Linked DNA regions of Arabidopsis thaliana. The protein of the gene in region 1 interacts with the protein of each later gene in a pairwise test. Each region holds a gene or a part of one and is shown in the gene's direction. Other genes may lie near its edges.

Region 1 (7,617 bases):
ATAGCAAAGGTTACAATTCATTTACCAAATATAGTACAGAATGTTTACTCTCTTGTATTTATTTCGGATCTCATAACCAAAAGTAGATTTACTTAAACAGTTTTTTTTTTTTTTTTGCATTGCTTGTCCCTCTTGCCTTCATTTATTGGCACTCTCTTAATTATAAGACTCAAAACAGTCCTTTTTTTGTTTTCAACAAAAACTCAAAACAGTCTATTAAGCAATGAAATTTCCATATTTTTGTAATGTAGGCTGTAAATTGACAAATAAACAGTACTGCTTCAAAAAGAAAATAAGAACATGGCTTCCCATAATTAGGGCTTTGGAAATGTTATTAACGGATATATAAATGTCCTTAGATCGAGAACCCCTTAATTAATAATTAACAGTAACACAGACTACTTTTTTCTATGGACTGCAGAATTTTATGGTCAAACCCACCCAAATTAAAAGCTAATTATATGTAAAATTCTATTGCACATATATTTTATTAGGATATTTCTAGCATTTATGGACCACAAGAAAATAATTATAGTTGTTTTTTTTTTGGTTAAACAAAAAATTGATTATAGTTATGATATGGAAAAGATGGAAGAAGTCATTTAATAAGTTTATCTAACAATCTATGATTAGGTTATCGCAGTAATGAATTTTCTTTCTTAGCAGAAATGAATAATTTAGTCACACTAACTACATAGCTTTAATTTCTGTTGATACAATTGAAGACAAGAAGACATAAACGTTGAAACAGTGTATTTGGTACTGTGTATGTGTTTGATTAGCACGAAACATGGTTAAAAACATCACATGGTTAAAACAAATCCGTCACCATCTGTTTTTTTTTTTTTTTTTACAACATACTTGTTTTCCATTCGTCATATCCGAAAGAGAATAAATTTGCAAGCTCTTCAAATTCATGGTTCGGTATTATAATCTTAAAAAAAATATATAAACTTACAATATAAATAGAACGATAGGTTTGATAAACAATAAAAATAGATGATAGGGGGCCATAAATAAAAACTCGAAAACAAAAGTTAAATAGCAAAATGCAACAAGCAAGCTCATGATGTGTCGAATACACTTCTGCAAACAATTTGGGGGAGATTAAAAATAGTCACTATAAAAAAAATCTTATGACGTTGAGAATCCGTCTTTTGCCTCAAAAATTACCAACACGAACCACATTGAAGCAGCAAGGAACATTGGACGGTTTCTTTCCAGAGGCAGAAACTAAATAGTATATCTCAATAAGAAATTTAACATACGACCAAAATTAATTGCTTTATAAAAATAATTAAAATATTAATGATAACCTTTTCCGTGGTTAATTTTCGGCCATTATGATAAAATAATTGATCCAATCATATGTTTACACAACATACTTAAAATTCCTTATATACTCTCTTGATTACTTTCTTACCAGTTACATAAACTCAATATGCAACAACTAGATTACTTTAATCTAAACGTTCTGATATACGGCCTTATGTCGATGTTAAGTTATATATATCACGTTCACAATGTATATAAATAATTCAAATAATTTTCCAAAAGTAATGGCGTCTAAATATAGTTGAGTTGAATAGTATAGACTCTCCTCATGGATTTGAATTTCCTCTGTGATTCGTTTGAAAAAAAACAATGTTTTGGAGTGCTATACTAGTTGATACACCCAACCAAATCGGAATTTTATAAAAAATTTGGACAAAATTACCAGAAAATAAAATTATTGCAATTTACGTGATATATACCCTAAAGTGTTATGTTTCCTTAAATCGTGTAACGAAACCATAAGTTTCTTATCATGCGGATGTCTGTAGCTCTCGACATATATAGTACCGAACGGGTCCAACGAGTAAATGAATATAACATCAAACGTCAATTTTTCTGTCACATGCCTCGTCTATGCATGCATGATAGTGTACATATATAATAGTTTCCTTTCTGTCTTTTACACTATTCTTAATCCACTTTTCTGTTTTGCATGGGTAGATATTTTGTTTTGGTTTCATAAAATAAATAGAAACCAATATCATTTAGTTTGGTTCGATTTTTCTTCGGATTCTAAATTTTTTTTATTTTATTTTAACTAAACTATATGTTTTATTTATTTTTAGTCATGATTTATTTTATATATCAAAAATATGTAACCGAATTTATTACATCTAGTTTTTTCCAATCACTTTCTTTGGTACAGTTTCGGTTTGACTCAAATTAGTTTAAACCAATTTGGACCACCCTAATTTATACATTTTTTTTTTCAAAGACCCTAGTTCTCTTAATACATTCACCGCACAACTTTTTATAACTATAAATAAGGCCACAAGCATTCACACACATTACACTTTTCTCTCCCAAAGAAACAAAAAAAAAAACTCTTAAGCTAGAACAAGTTTAAAACTCTTCGCTCAGTTTTCGATCTATCTAACAAAAGCATACATGACTACGCCGGAGGGGGCGATGTATGTGGCGTGGGAGGATCTTACGGTGGTGATACCAAACTTCGGTGAAGGAGCAACTAAGAGATTACTGAATGGAGTGAATGGTTGTGGTGAGCCAAATAGGATCTTAGCTATTATGGGTCCTTCAGGTTCAGGCAAATCTACGCTTCTTGATGCTTTAGCAGGTCCCTTCTCTCTCTCTCAGACACACACACCCATACATGTCAAGATTAGCTCGTCGTTTTTATTATGTATTTCTTTTATTGTTAAATGGTTTTCCTCTATTATATAAATCTCAAATAAGCTGAAGCAACATCGACCAACAATTAAAAGATATAGTTTTTAGAGGAATTTAACAACCAACCACATTTAGCTTTGAAACCAACATTAAAGGATGAGACTTACCCACTTTGAACCTAGTATTTAGTGAATCGTTCTATGTACTCTATATATATATATATATAACTATAATTAACAATATACATGACGTTATGTCTTTCTTTTAAAAAATTGTCCAAGGAAACTTTCTCAATATACTATGTAAAAAGTGTTTCACTTTTGGAAAATAAGAAATTTCTGTTTTCTTACATTAAAAAATATTCACAAATCTTTTAGTAATTTTTATTTGGAATTGATAAGGATTTCTGCCATTCGTAGTTAAATTTGAGAATATAAGTTAGAATTTATTTGTTAGATATATATATATATATATATATATAGGTGTATGTCTGTGCGTGGGTGGGTGTGTGTCCTATTCAACATAAAATATTTAATTATTATTAACCTGTAAATTCGTATGTAATCAAAATTAACTAATATGATACTTGATTAGTTTTTTGTATATTGGAAAAATACATTACTACAATAAAATTGATAACTTTCCTATTTGAAAGCAACAAACTATGTACATACTGTATCAGTATCACAATTTGGTGAAATGAAAATATTAACTGAAGTTTTTGTACTCTTCTGTAATTTTTTTTTTTTTTCTTCTGTAACTTTGACCAAACGTAACATATATATATGTAAAAGAAATTTGAGAGCATGATATAACATATTTATGTATCAAGATATTTATAACTATTGAAAAACAGTGCTATATTTATATCTAAGTTTCATGTACACGATGAGACATATATAGATATTTCTAACTTTATATTTATGGATTCTAGCTACCAATTTTATTTTTTAAGTATAGCTATATACTATCGGAGTACTAAATAAATATTAAAAAAAAAATAGTTGCAATTTTCATGTTCTTAATTAATAAATTTACATCGTCGTACATTTAGTATTGAATAAATTGATAGTTACGTTTCTCTAACGTAGACTATGTACAGAAATTTTGCAGTAACATTTCTTATTAAATCATATTTTAAATGTTAACCAACTACCAATCACCAATATTCTGACACAAATATTTAGGATTGCACGATCGTATCTTCATACCGACTTGCGATCTCTTCACAAGTTGAACCCGGTTTGGTGACTGGTCGGACTCTTTGAGGGATGTTACGTTCAATCCAAAAACAATCCAAATCGATTATTATTTTCTTGACCAAACCTAAATTTGATTGGATTAAGAAGATCTTTATTTTATGCTTATGACTAATCGAAACCAATTTAATTTTACTGTGGCTAATATTCTTGTAAAAGCGAAAAACCCAAAACCGGGTTATAAGATTGTTCTATCAATGCTATAAGATTGTTCAAAAACATGAAAGATTTAACATCTAACATTAAAAGGTAAATTTGGTGATGGTACAGGAAGATTAGCAGGGAATGTTGTAATGAGTGGCAAAGTACTTGTCAATGGCAAGAAGAGAAGACTTGACTTTGGTGCTGCCGTAAGAAAATTTATCTTTTCTCTTTAGTTTTTACCCTTTTACACAATCAAACTATTATTATTCATGAATGTCCTAAACTCTCAGGCTTATGTGACGCAAGAAGATGTGTTGCTAGGAACTTTGACAGTGAGAGAATCCATATCTTACTCGGCTCATCTCAGGCTCCCTTCAAAGCTTACCAGAGAAGAGATCAGTGACATTGTGGAAGCTACAATCACTGACATGGGTCTTGAAGAATGTTCAGACAGGACCATTGGAAACTGGCATTTGCGTGGAATAAGCGGAGGAGAGAAGAAACGGCTTAGTATTGCCCTCGAGGTCTTAACAAAACCAAGTCTCCTCTTTCTAGACGAACCAACTAGTGGACTGGACAGTGCTTCAGCTTTCTTCGTGGTTCAGATTCTTAGAAACATAGCAAGCAGTGGCAAAACTGTGGTTTCTTCGATCCATCAGCCGAGTGGTGAGGTTTTCGCCCTCTTTGATGACCTGCTACTTCTGTCTGGAGGAGAAACTGTTTACTTTGGCGAAGCAGAATCTGCAACAAAGGTAATAAGATAGAGCATTGGCAAGAGTATATAACCATTATGCTCATTTGTGTTGTTGTTGCTTCGACATTGCAGTTCTTTGGTGAAGCAGGTTTTCCTTGTCCAAGTAGACGGAATCCATCAGACCACTTCCTTCGCTGTGTCAATTCCGATTTCGATAATGTCACAGCGGCTTTGGTTGAATCTCGGAGAATCAACGTTTGTTTTCCTCTGCCCTTCTTGTTTTTTCATGAACTTACAATACTCTCAAGCTTTTGACCTCGACCTTTTACATCTGCAGGATTCATCTTTCTCTCTTCACCAACTACATGAAACTACAAACACATTAGATCCTCTGGATGATATACCAACTGCAGAAATTAGAACAACACTTGTCAGAAAATTTAAGTGTTCACTTTATGCAGCAGCTTCAAGAGCAAGAATTCAAGAAATAGCATCGATAGTAAGTTACGGTTACTACTTCCCTTAAAACTACAATGTATCACATAATGAGAGTCTCATAAGCACAGTTATAAACCTTGTGCAACAGGTGGGGATTGTCACAGAAAGGAAAAAGGGGAGCCAAACTAATTGGTGGAAACAACTCAGAATACTTACTCAGCGATCTTTCATCAACATGAGTAGAGACTTGGGGTACTACTGGATGCGGATTGCAGTCTACATAGTGTTATCCATTTGTGTCGGGTCAATCTTCTTCAACGTCGGGAGAAACCACACAAATGTTATGAGTACTGCAGCTTGTGGCGGATTTATGGCAGGCTTTATGACATTCATGTCAATAGGAGGATTCCAATCCTTCATTGAAGAAATGAAGGTAAAGAGCTAAACAGAGAAAAATTCTCTTTCTTCACCTAAAAACTTATCTTATGTTTTAGCATCTTTATTCCTGAAAACAGGTGTTTTCTCGCGAAAGGCTCAATGGACACTATGGGGTTGCAGTATACACTGTGTCTAATTTACTCTCCTCATTACCTTTCATAATCCTTATGTGCCTCTCCACCAGCTCAATCACTATCTACATGGTGAGGTTCCAATCCGGAGGTTCTCATTTCTTCTACAACTGTCTCGACCTTATCTGCGCGATTACAACTGTGGAGAGTTGCATGATGATGATAGCTTCAGTAGTCCCTAACTTCTTGATGGGAGTCATGTTGGGAGCTGGTTACATTGTAAGAGTGGCCTCTGTCGCTCTTTCACCTACAAGCTTTCTTATATCTCCAAAAACTATTCTAAATTGAAAACCGCTTTATCCTTCATCTCATAGGGAATTATGGTGTTAAGTGCGGGGTTTTTCCGATTCTTCCCCGACTTACCAATGGTGTTCTGGCGATACCCGGTGTCCTACATAAACTATGGTGCATGGGCACTACAGGTAACCAGGTTTTCTCAACTTTAAGATGCAGACTATATCGTCAAGTAGCTATCTTAAATGAGCATACCTGATAAATTGCAGGGAGCATACAAGAATGAGATGATTGGGGTGGAGTATGATTCTCCGTTACCCTTGGTACCAAAAATGAAAGGAGAACTCATTCTTCAAACTGTTCTAGGCATAAATCCAGAAAGTTCAAAGTGGTTGGATCTAGCAGTTGTGATGATGATTCTCATTGGGTATAGGATTGCCTTCTTCGCCATCCTCAAGTTCCGGGAAAAGGTTTTCCCAGTTATTCACATGTTATACACAAAGAGAACTCTGAGCCATATCCAGAAAAGGCCTTCTTTCAGAAGAATGACACCTTTCCCTTCCAGGCGATACCCTGTTCACCATGCTCTCTCTTCTCAGGAAGGACTTAACTCTCCACTGCATTAGAAGCATATACAGCAGGATGCAATTTCCATATATTTCAATATGTCAGATGTCACTCTCTTCAAACTTGATAAACTGTTTGTAGCCCGTTGTGTAAGGAAAAAAAAAAGAAAAGAGAGATACTATCATTCTGACTAATGAGATTTGTTTAGCATGAGGATGGTATCTATCAGAGATACATATATTGGAGAAAAAAGATAAGCATGGCTACATTATCAGATTACAAGTGATGCATGCATGAACCCCTAAGAGAGAGTCTACCAACGAACCACCGTAAATATATCAAATAAGGCACTTCGTTTGCTAACATAGCTTCAGAAGAAACTGTGTTATGGAAATCAAATAAACAGAAGATGGTATGGAGATTTGTTACCTGGCTGGCAGTAGAACACTGGTCCTTGCTTGATAGCACCAGTGACGCAAATCTATAATCTGTGCAGCACAAGAACAGAACAGACCAGGCATATTTGACTTTTATCACTAAGTGCCATGAAATCTCCTCTTTTAGCATATAGTTGATAGGGAATAGAATCAAAACTAACAAAAGTAACCTCCCAAAGGCGTTTGTTGAACAGATAGAGAACAAACAACGAGATACTTAAAACCTTAAAAGTGTAAAACCAAGCAAAAATGGTAAATTTTCAACTTTGGGAACCCAAATATAAGCTCCCAGAAATATTACATAGTAAGGAAAAAAAATACACAAACAATCAATAACTTTAAACAAATATGGCTAATCCAGTTGTAAAATCAGAAAAAACCAGTCTGATTATTTTAGAGTAGACATGTACAGAACTCATTTGTTGTTCATTTGCTACCCTATGACTGTTACAACTAAACTCATCCAAATCTGAACCAAGAACTAGTTTGGGAAAACTGTGTTAAAATGTCAAGAATACGCCTGCTGGTTCTGCCTAACTCTTCATATCCTCAGAACCATTAGTTTCAAGTCTACCATTAAATCCATGATATGG
Region 2 (6,203 bases), 670 kb from region 1:
TGTCTTCACCAAAAAGTAAAAACCCCAAAATTTAAGAAGAAGAAGAAGAAGAAGCAAGTAGCTACTTCATCATCATGCTAGAATATAGATTTGTTGGTGGTTTGCATTTGCGTGAAAAAGATTCTAAGAAACAAATAAAATAAAGTAAATACAATGAGAGGATTTTAAGGATAAAAATAGAGTGAACGGAAGTGCGCGTGAGTCGGTGAAGACATGATGATAATAAATGCTGCAAAATTAGTGGGTTTGTTGTTGTTTTGGTCGCCACTTTTGTTTTTCATGGTCTCTTTTTCAAAACTCTTATTTTTTTTGGTTTTAATGCTAAGACCTTTTTCTGCCTGGAACTTTCTTACACAACAACAATTATAAGGGAAAGACATATCAACAACAATAATAAAATGTGAGTTATCTTGTAATTGTTTTTTACATAAGAAAAAAAAAAGACTTAAACAAATATACAGAATTTTATTTTTCTTTCATTTTACTAATACAGAAAGATGAAACGGCTTTGAAGCTTAGACGATGTTAAGGCAAATATGGCATGATAGCAATAGCCCAAACACTTAGAAAAGTTTGCACGCAATTGCATACCTTCTTTCCTAACATAGCTTCTCACGTCAATTTTTCCATTTAACTAGTTTCACATTCCTTCTACAAACCATTGATGATCCATTCAGCCGGCCCAATCATAGCCCACTTTGCCAACAATATCCTTAAACCAGTTCACACATAGTTTGGGTCTGGGATAGGTCTGAACCAACTCGAAGTTATAAATTACAAATCATGGAAAATTGGCACAAGGACGAGAATTTCAAGAAGTTTTTCTTTTTCAAAATCTTGTTTTTATTGGGTAGGTAGGGACCCAAATCGTCAGCTCTAATTCACACTCACATTTGTAACCACTCGTGAAACATTTTTTACATCCCTTCTTATTTGATTCTTTTGCCTTTTATGAATTTGCAAACTCAATAACTTGTGTAACCTTTTCGACTATCATACAATCTACACAATCATTCATCTAGAACCAGCTTAAGATTAGTAACAATTACCTAATTATTAGTCATTCCTTAATTACAAAACGGATCACAAATATTGCTTTTTATAAGATATCTATTCCGTATCCAACCCCTACATACAGAAAAAAGGTTCGGGCCGACCCTGCCTACATAAGACCGACCATATAAACGTTTTGTATATGGCATGGCATTACTGGAATGTTGTAGGAAAAAATTGCATACAATAAATCTAAACCTTTACAAAAATATTGCAGTTGAGGGGTCTGAGATATGACAGGGTGTTGCACATGTGAGTGACCCTACCAACGTTATGTAGACCATTTCCATTTGGGTTCACATTGCTACTTCCATCTCATTTTCTCGTTTTTGAATTCGGTCTAGAATTTATATCCAAAACTAAAACTGGGATGATTTAGGATCAATCCCAAAGCACTCGAGCCATTTTATCCTTATGTCGCTTTCGCTTCACCAAACACTTCATAAATGCTTGTTTGTTTATTTTTTAACAAGCAATATATACCTTTCTTCTTCTCCAAGATAAAGACAAAGGTATAATTATTCGTTTTATCACAAAGTAGAATATTTGCTTAGAAACTAATTATGAATTAACAATTGTTGTTACAAATTACAATCATACAACGGTTGTGTGTTTTTATAATCTTAAAAAAACGAATAAAAACAAACAAAAGTTAATAATTAACGAAATGGCATGAGACATCATGATACAAACATGCGACCTCCATTTTAATTTGTTTTCAGTTTTAATCCTACTACTAATCATGTATTTTTGTTGTGTTGGTCCAAATCATTTCACAGGAAAGAAACTAATCTAATACAAATTTCTGAATATCAAATTTTTTTATGTTTCCTTCAACATTCACAAGTTTAGTGTTGGTATGTTATGCATAAAAGAAACTTGTAGGTTAGAAAGGAGATGAAATGAGAAAGTTAGGGGCTTTTCTACAATTGTCTTCGTTTATGATCACGAATTGAATAGTTGACAAGTCTAAAATTTGTCTCTTTCCTTGTCACTTGTCAGTGAGTATACAAAACAATACACAGAGCCTCGCATGTCATATTCACACAGGGACCTTCCGTTAAACTCCTTTTTTATAATCTCGTTCTCTCTTCTCTCTTTCTCTCTCTGGTTGCTCTTGGCCATGGTTGTGAATAGTCAAGCTTTCTTGTTGGCATTAATTGCATTACTTGCTACCCAATTGCCTTCACTAATGGCTGCAGGTTTCTCTTTATCGATTTTCCTCTGTTTCTTTCTCTTTTAAAGCTTCATTATTTAATCCTGTTCTTGCCTAAATCAGGATAAGATTATGAATGTTGGATTTTGAGCTTCTGGATTTTGCAAATTTTGTTGCTTTCTTTGACTAGATTTGAGTTTCGATGGAAATTCGCATAATTTTGGTTCATTAGTTGCTTACATGCAAAAATACTCTCTTTTTAAATTGAAATCAGATCTTGAGAAACCATAAAAATTCAAACTTTGTTTGTTCTTTTCAAGCTATTGTGGTTAGAAAGTTAAAAGCTTGAAACTTGCGGACCAATCTTTATAGGTTACCAGACACTAATGCTGCATTGTCATGTGTGTTTGCAGATTGTCCATTAGATTTCAGTGGATCAAATTTCACTCTAGTAGCTACTGTGTGCTCCAACATAACCAACAGAGGCAAATGTTGCCGCTACATGAACGCTTTTGTTGCGGTGTCCGTGGCTCGTTACGCGAACTTGTCAACTAATCTTGGAGTCACATCAGATTTATCTGAAACCTGCATTGCTTCCATCTCTAGAGCCATGGAGGGCTACGGAGTCTCGAGAAACGCCACTAGTTTCTGCGGTTTGGGAACCAAGATCCTTGTTAAGTATGACTGTGACGGTCGAACCACTGTTACACAAATGCATCAGTCTCCGGGATTTGGACATGTTTCAAGAAACTGCAGACTCCCATTTTCGCCGGGACACCAATGCAGAAAGTGTTTGAACTCTGGCATCACTTACCTTCGTAATCTCATAGGTGCAGAGACTAATAACATTACTCTGTGTACTTGTCGTGATGCGACTTATGCTACATTAGCAAGCCGAATAGACGATACATCAGCTCTTGAACTCCTTAGTTGTTTCTTTCAAGTGACAGAGCTTAACATTCCTTCAGGTTAGACTCATGACTGCAATTTTCTTAGTATCTCATCAGTTTCTTTAGTAACTCATTGTGTATCGACAGAGTCATTTTCACCAGTGGCAAGTCCAGAACCTTCTCCAAGCACGGTTGGTGGTATTAGCCCAAGCAACAGTGATTCTCAAATGACTACAAGTAGAAGCACCAATCCATATCACTTAACAATGGTTCCAACCATTGGGATTGTTGTTACAGCTGTTGCTCTTACGATGCTTGTAGTCTTGGTAATTCTTATCCGTAGAAAGAACCGGGAACTGGATGAATCTGAGAGCTTGGATAGAAAGTCAACAAAATCAGTTCCTTCTTCCCTTCCTGTATTCAAGATTCATGAAGGTGTGAAAATAGAGAGTTGAGTTCTTTGTTTTATAATATAAGATACCTAAGAAATGACTTGAAAACGCTTTTTTCTGCAGATGATTCTTCCTCAGCTTTCAGAAAGTTCAGCTACAAGGAAATGACAAATGCAACAAATGATTTCAACACGGTTATCGGTCAGGGAGGTTTTGGTACTGTTTACAAAGCCGAGTTCAACGATGGTCTGATTGCAGCGGTAAAAAAGATGAACAAAGTCTCTGAACAAGCTGAACAAGATTTTTGTAGAGAGATAGGGCTTTTAGCTAAGCTGCATCACCGTAACCTCGTTGCTTTGAAAGGCTTTTGCATCAACAAGAAAGAAAGGTGAAGAACCATACATTGCTTTTTCGCCTTCTGCATTTATCTAAACCATAAGTGTTCTCATTTTATATTGTTTCAATCATTCAGGTTCTTGGTCTACGACTATATGAAAAATGGCAGCTTAAAAGATCACTTACATGGTATGTATATGCTTCTTCTACCATAAGTGTACGAGTCCTGAGTGTTGAATACTTTTCTTGTTTCAATTTTTTCCTTTGCAGCCATTGGAAAGCCTCCACCTAGTTGGGGAACAAGAATGAAAATTGCAATTGATGTGGCAAATGCTTTGGTAAATATTCCAAAGTCTTTCATCTACATTTTCTCTGTAAACTGATTTGATAATATATCTTTTACAGTTTTTGGTTCTTGGCTGCACGTTGTTCTCTCCTCCAGGAATATCTTCATTTCTACTGTGATCCTCCTCTCTGTCATAGAGATATTAAATCAAGCAATATATTACTCGATGAGAACTTCGTCGCTAAGGTATGTAGTACTGCACATCTTCTGTGTTAGAGAACCCTTTGGTATTTGGATAACTAATAATGTTTTCTTGGTGCAGCTTTCAGATTTTGGCCTTGCACATTCGTCTAGAGATGGCTCTGTTTGCTTTGAGCCTGTGAATACCGATATCCGTGGAACTCCAGGTTTGGGAGAGATACTGAACAGAATAACTTGACTACTTTTGATGGAAGCTGAGTTTTAAAAACTTGAAGTTTTTTCAGGTTATGTAGATCCGGAATATGTAGTAACGCAAGAGTTGACAGAGAAGAGTGATGTGTACAGCTACGGAGTTGTGTTGCTGGAGCTCATAACCGGGAGAAGAGCAGTTGATGAAGGTAGGAACCTTGTGGAAATGTCTCAGCGGTTTTTGTTGGCGAAATCAAAACACCTCGAGTTGGTAGACCCGAGAATCAAAGACTCTATTAATGATGCTGGAGGAAAACAACTTGATGCAGTTGTGACGGTTGTGAGATTGTGTACCGAGAAAGAAGGCCGGTCTAGGCCATCAATTAAGCAAGTCTTGAGGCTGTTGTGTGAAAGCTGTGATCCGGTGCATAGCGCATTTGCTAAAGCGGTTGAAGAAGAGATAGGCTGGGATAGTAGGAAGAGAAGCAATTTGAGAATTCAAAGAGGTGATTCCCGGATCTTTGGTCCATCGTCTAGTACTACTTCCAGGTCACATTACAGCCGGAGTTTACCTCACTCTCCAATTAACGGATTTTCTTTCTGAGTTAGTCACATCTTCTCTATAGCTAAATCTGAAAGTTTTACATATGTTTATGAAAATTATGAATTCATATTGAAAGCTCTCATACTCTACACAGACTGCACTCTTAGTTAAATTCAGCTCAAAAGATTTCTACATTGTAAGCGTCTCTGTAATTTCTCCTGTACAGTAGCACTATCTTCTATTACATATTACTCTCCCAGTGTCTTCCTTTTGAGTGGTCCTGTATTACATTAGCAGGTTCTTCTTGCTTTGACTTCACCTTCTTACCACGGACCGGTAAGGGTTCTTCTCAAGCATTGTCTTTTGGCCAGCAATGGAGGCTGCTTCGAAAATTCCTTTAGCTGCAAATTCAAGTACTAGTATCAGTGAACTGTGTGTCATCAAAATGACAATAGAGCTACATTTAGACAGACACAAAATGTCTGGTAATGTAGAGACAATGATGGTGTATACATGAAATATACATAAGTAGAGGAAAAACGTTATTACCTCACTATTATGGGTTTTCATTATTTCAGCCTGCAACATAGAGAGACCGCAGTTAAATAACTGAGCCAGCTAGACTCTCTATGGAGAAGCAATAAAAATGGTAGAAGAAAAAAACCTGTTTCTTCTGCAAATCTTGATTCACTAGCTTGAGACTTTCAATCTCAGCTTCCAGTTCCAAGGTATAAGCCTGAGGTTTAGCCAAAACATCAAAATGATTTCAAAGTTCTTGAAAAGAAAACGGTAATGGCAGTTTGGTTAGATGATATTGATATCAAAGTTTTTGAGAACAAAACGGTAACTTTACCTGTTTTCGAGCCCTTGATCTAGCAGCGGATTCCCGATTCTTGATCATTCTCTTTTGCCTTCTCTCAACAACCTTCTCCAGGCCCGTATTGCTTCTTCTTCCCCGACCAAACACGTAAGGAACTGGTGATGACCAAGTATTGTTTTCTGCACTGCTCGTCCCAGGAGAAGTAGCTGTAACAGTACCCCCTGCTCCTCCCATATTACTGTTGGCTGGACCATCTGCGCTAGTCTCAAATAAACCCCTGTTGACCATATTTACAGGCGCCGCAAATGTTACATTCGCTTGTTTTGGAAAGATAGT

Evidence for each region.
Region 2: the proteins of ABCG13 (region 1) and AT1G49730 interact in a protein complementation assay, tested with the Arabidopsis thaliana proteins (one large-scale study listed by BioGRID).

The regions. Positions count from the first base shown.
Region 1 is NC_003070.9:19,076,161-19,083,777, reverse strand, and holds ABCG13 (ABC-2 type transporter family protein), read left to right. Parts: upstream 1-2,326; 5' UTR 2,327-2,442; coding exon 2,443-2,629; intron 2,630-4,211; coding exon 4,212-4,291; intron 4,292-4,375; coding exon 4,376-4,837; intron 4,838-4,911; coding exon 4,912-5,034; intron 5,035-5,116; coding exon 5,117-5,278; intron 5,279-5,365; coding exon 5,366-5,650; intron 5,651-5,732; coding exon 5,733-6,005; intron 6,006-6,100; coding exon 6,101-6,208; intron 6,209-6,289; coding exon 6,290-6,646; 3' UTR 6,647-6,940; downstream 6,941-7,617. Other genes in the region: TRO (TRAUCO), read right to left, coding at 7,558-7,617.
Region 2 is NC_003070.9:18,401,522-18,407,724, reverse strand, and holds AT1G49730 (Protein kinase superfamily protein), read left to right. Parts: upstream 1-2,043; 5' UTR 2,044-2,086; coding exon 2,087-2,255; exon of another isoform or gene 2,256-2,622; coding exon 2,623-3,177; intron 3,178-3,246; coding exon 3,247-3,534; intron 3,535-3,614; coding exon 3,615-3,879; intron 3,880-3,963; coding exon 3,964-4,016; intron 4,017-4,097; coding exon 4,098-4,165; coding exon of another isoform or gene 4,166-4,210; exon of another isoform or gene 4,211-4,232; coding exon of another isoform or gene 4,233-4,269; coding exon 4,270-4,359; intron 4,360-4,435; coding exon 4,436-4,520; intron 4,521-4,598; coding exon 4,599-5,107; 3' UTR 5,108-5,219; downstream 5,220-6,203. Other genes in the region: ABF1 (abscisic acid responsive element-binding factor 1), read right to left, coding at 5,363-5,448, 5,572-5,626, 5,712-5,783, 5,901-6,203.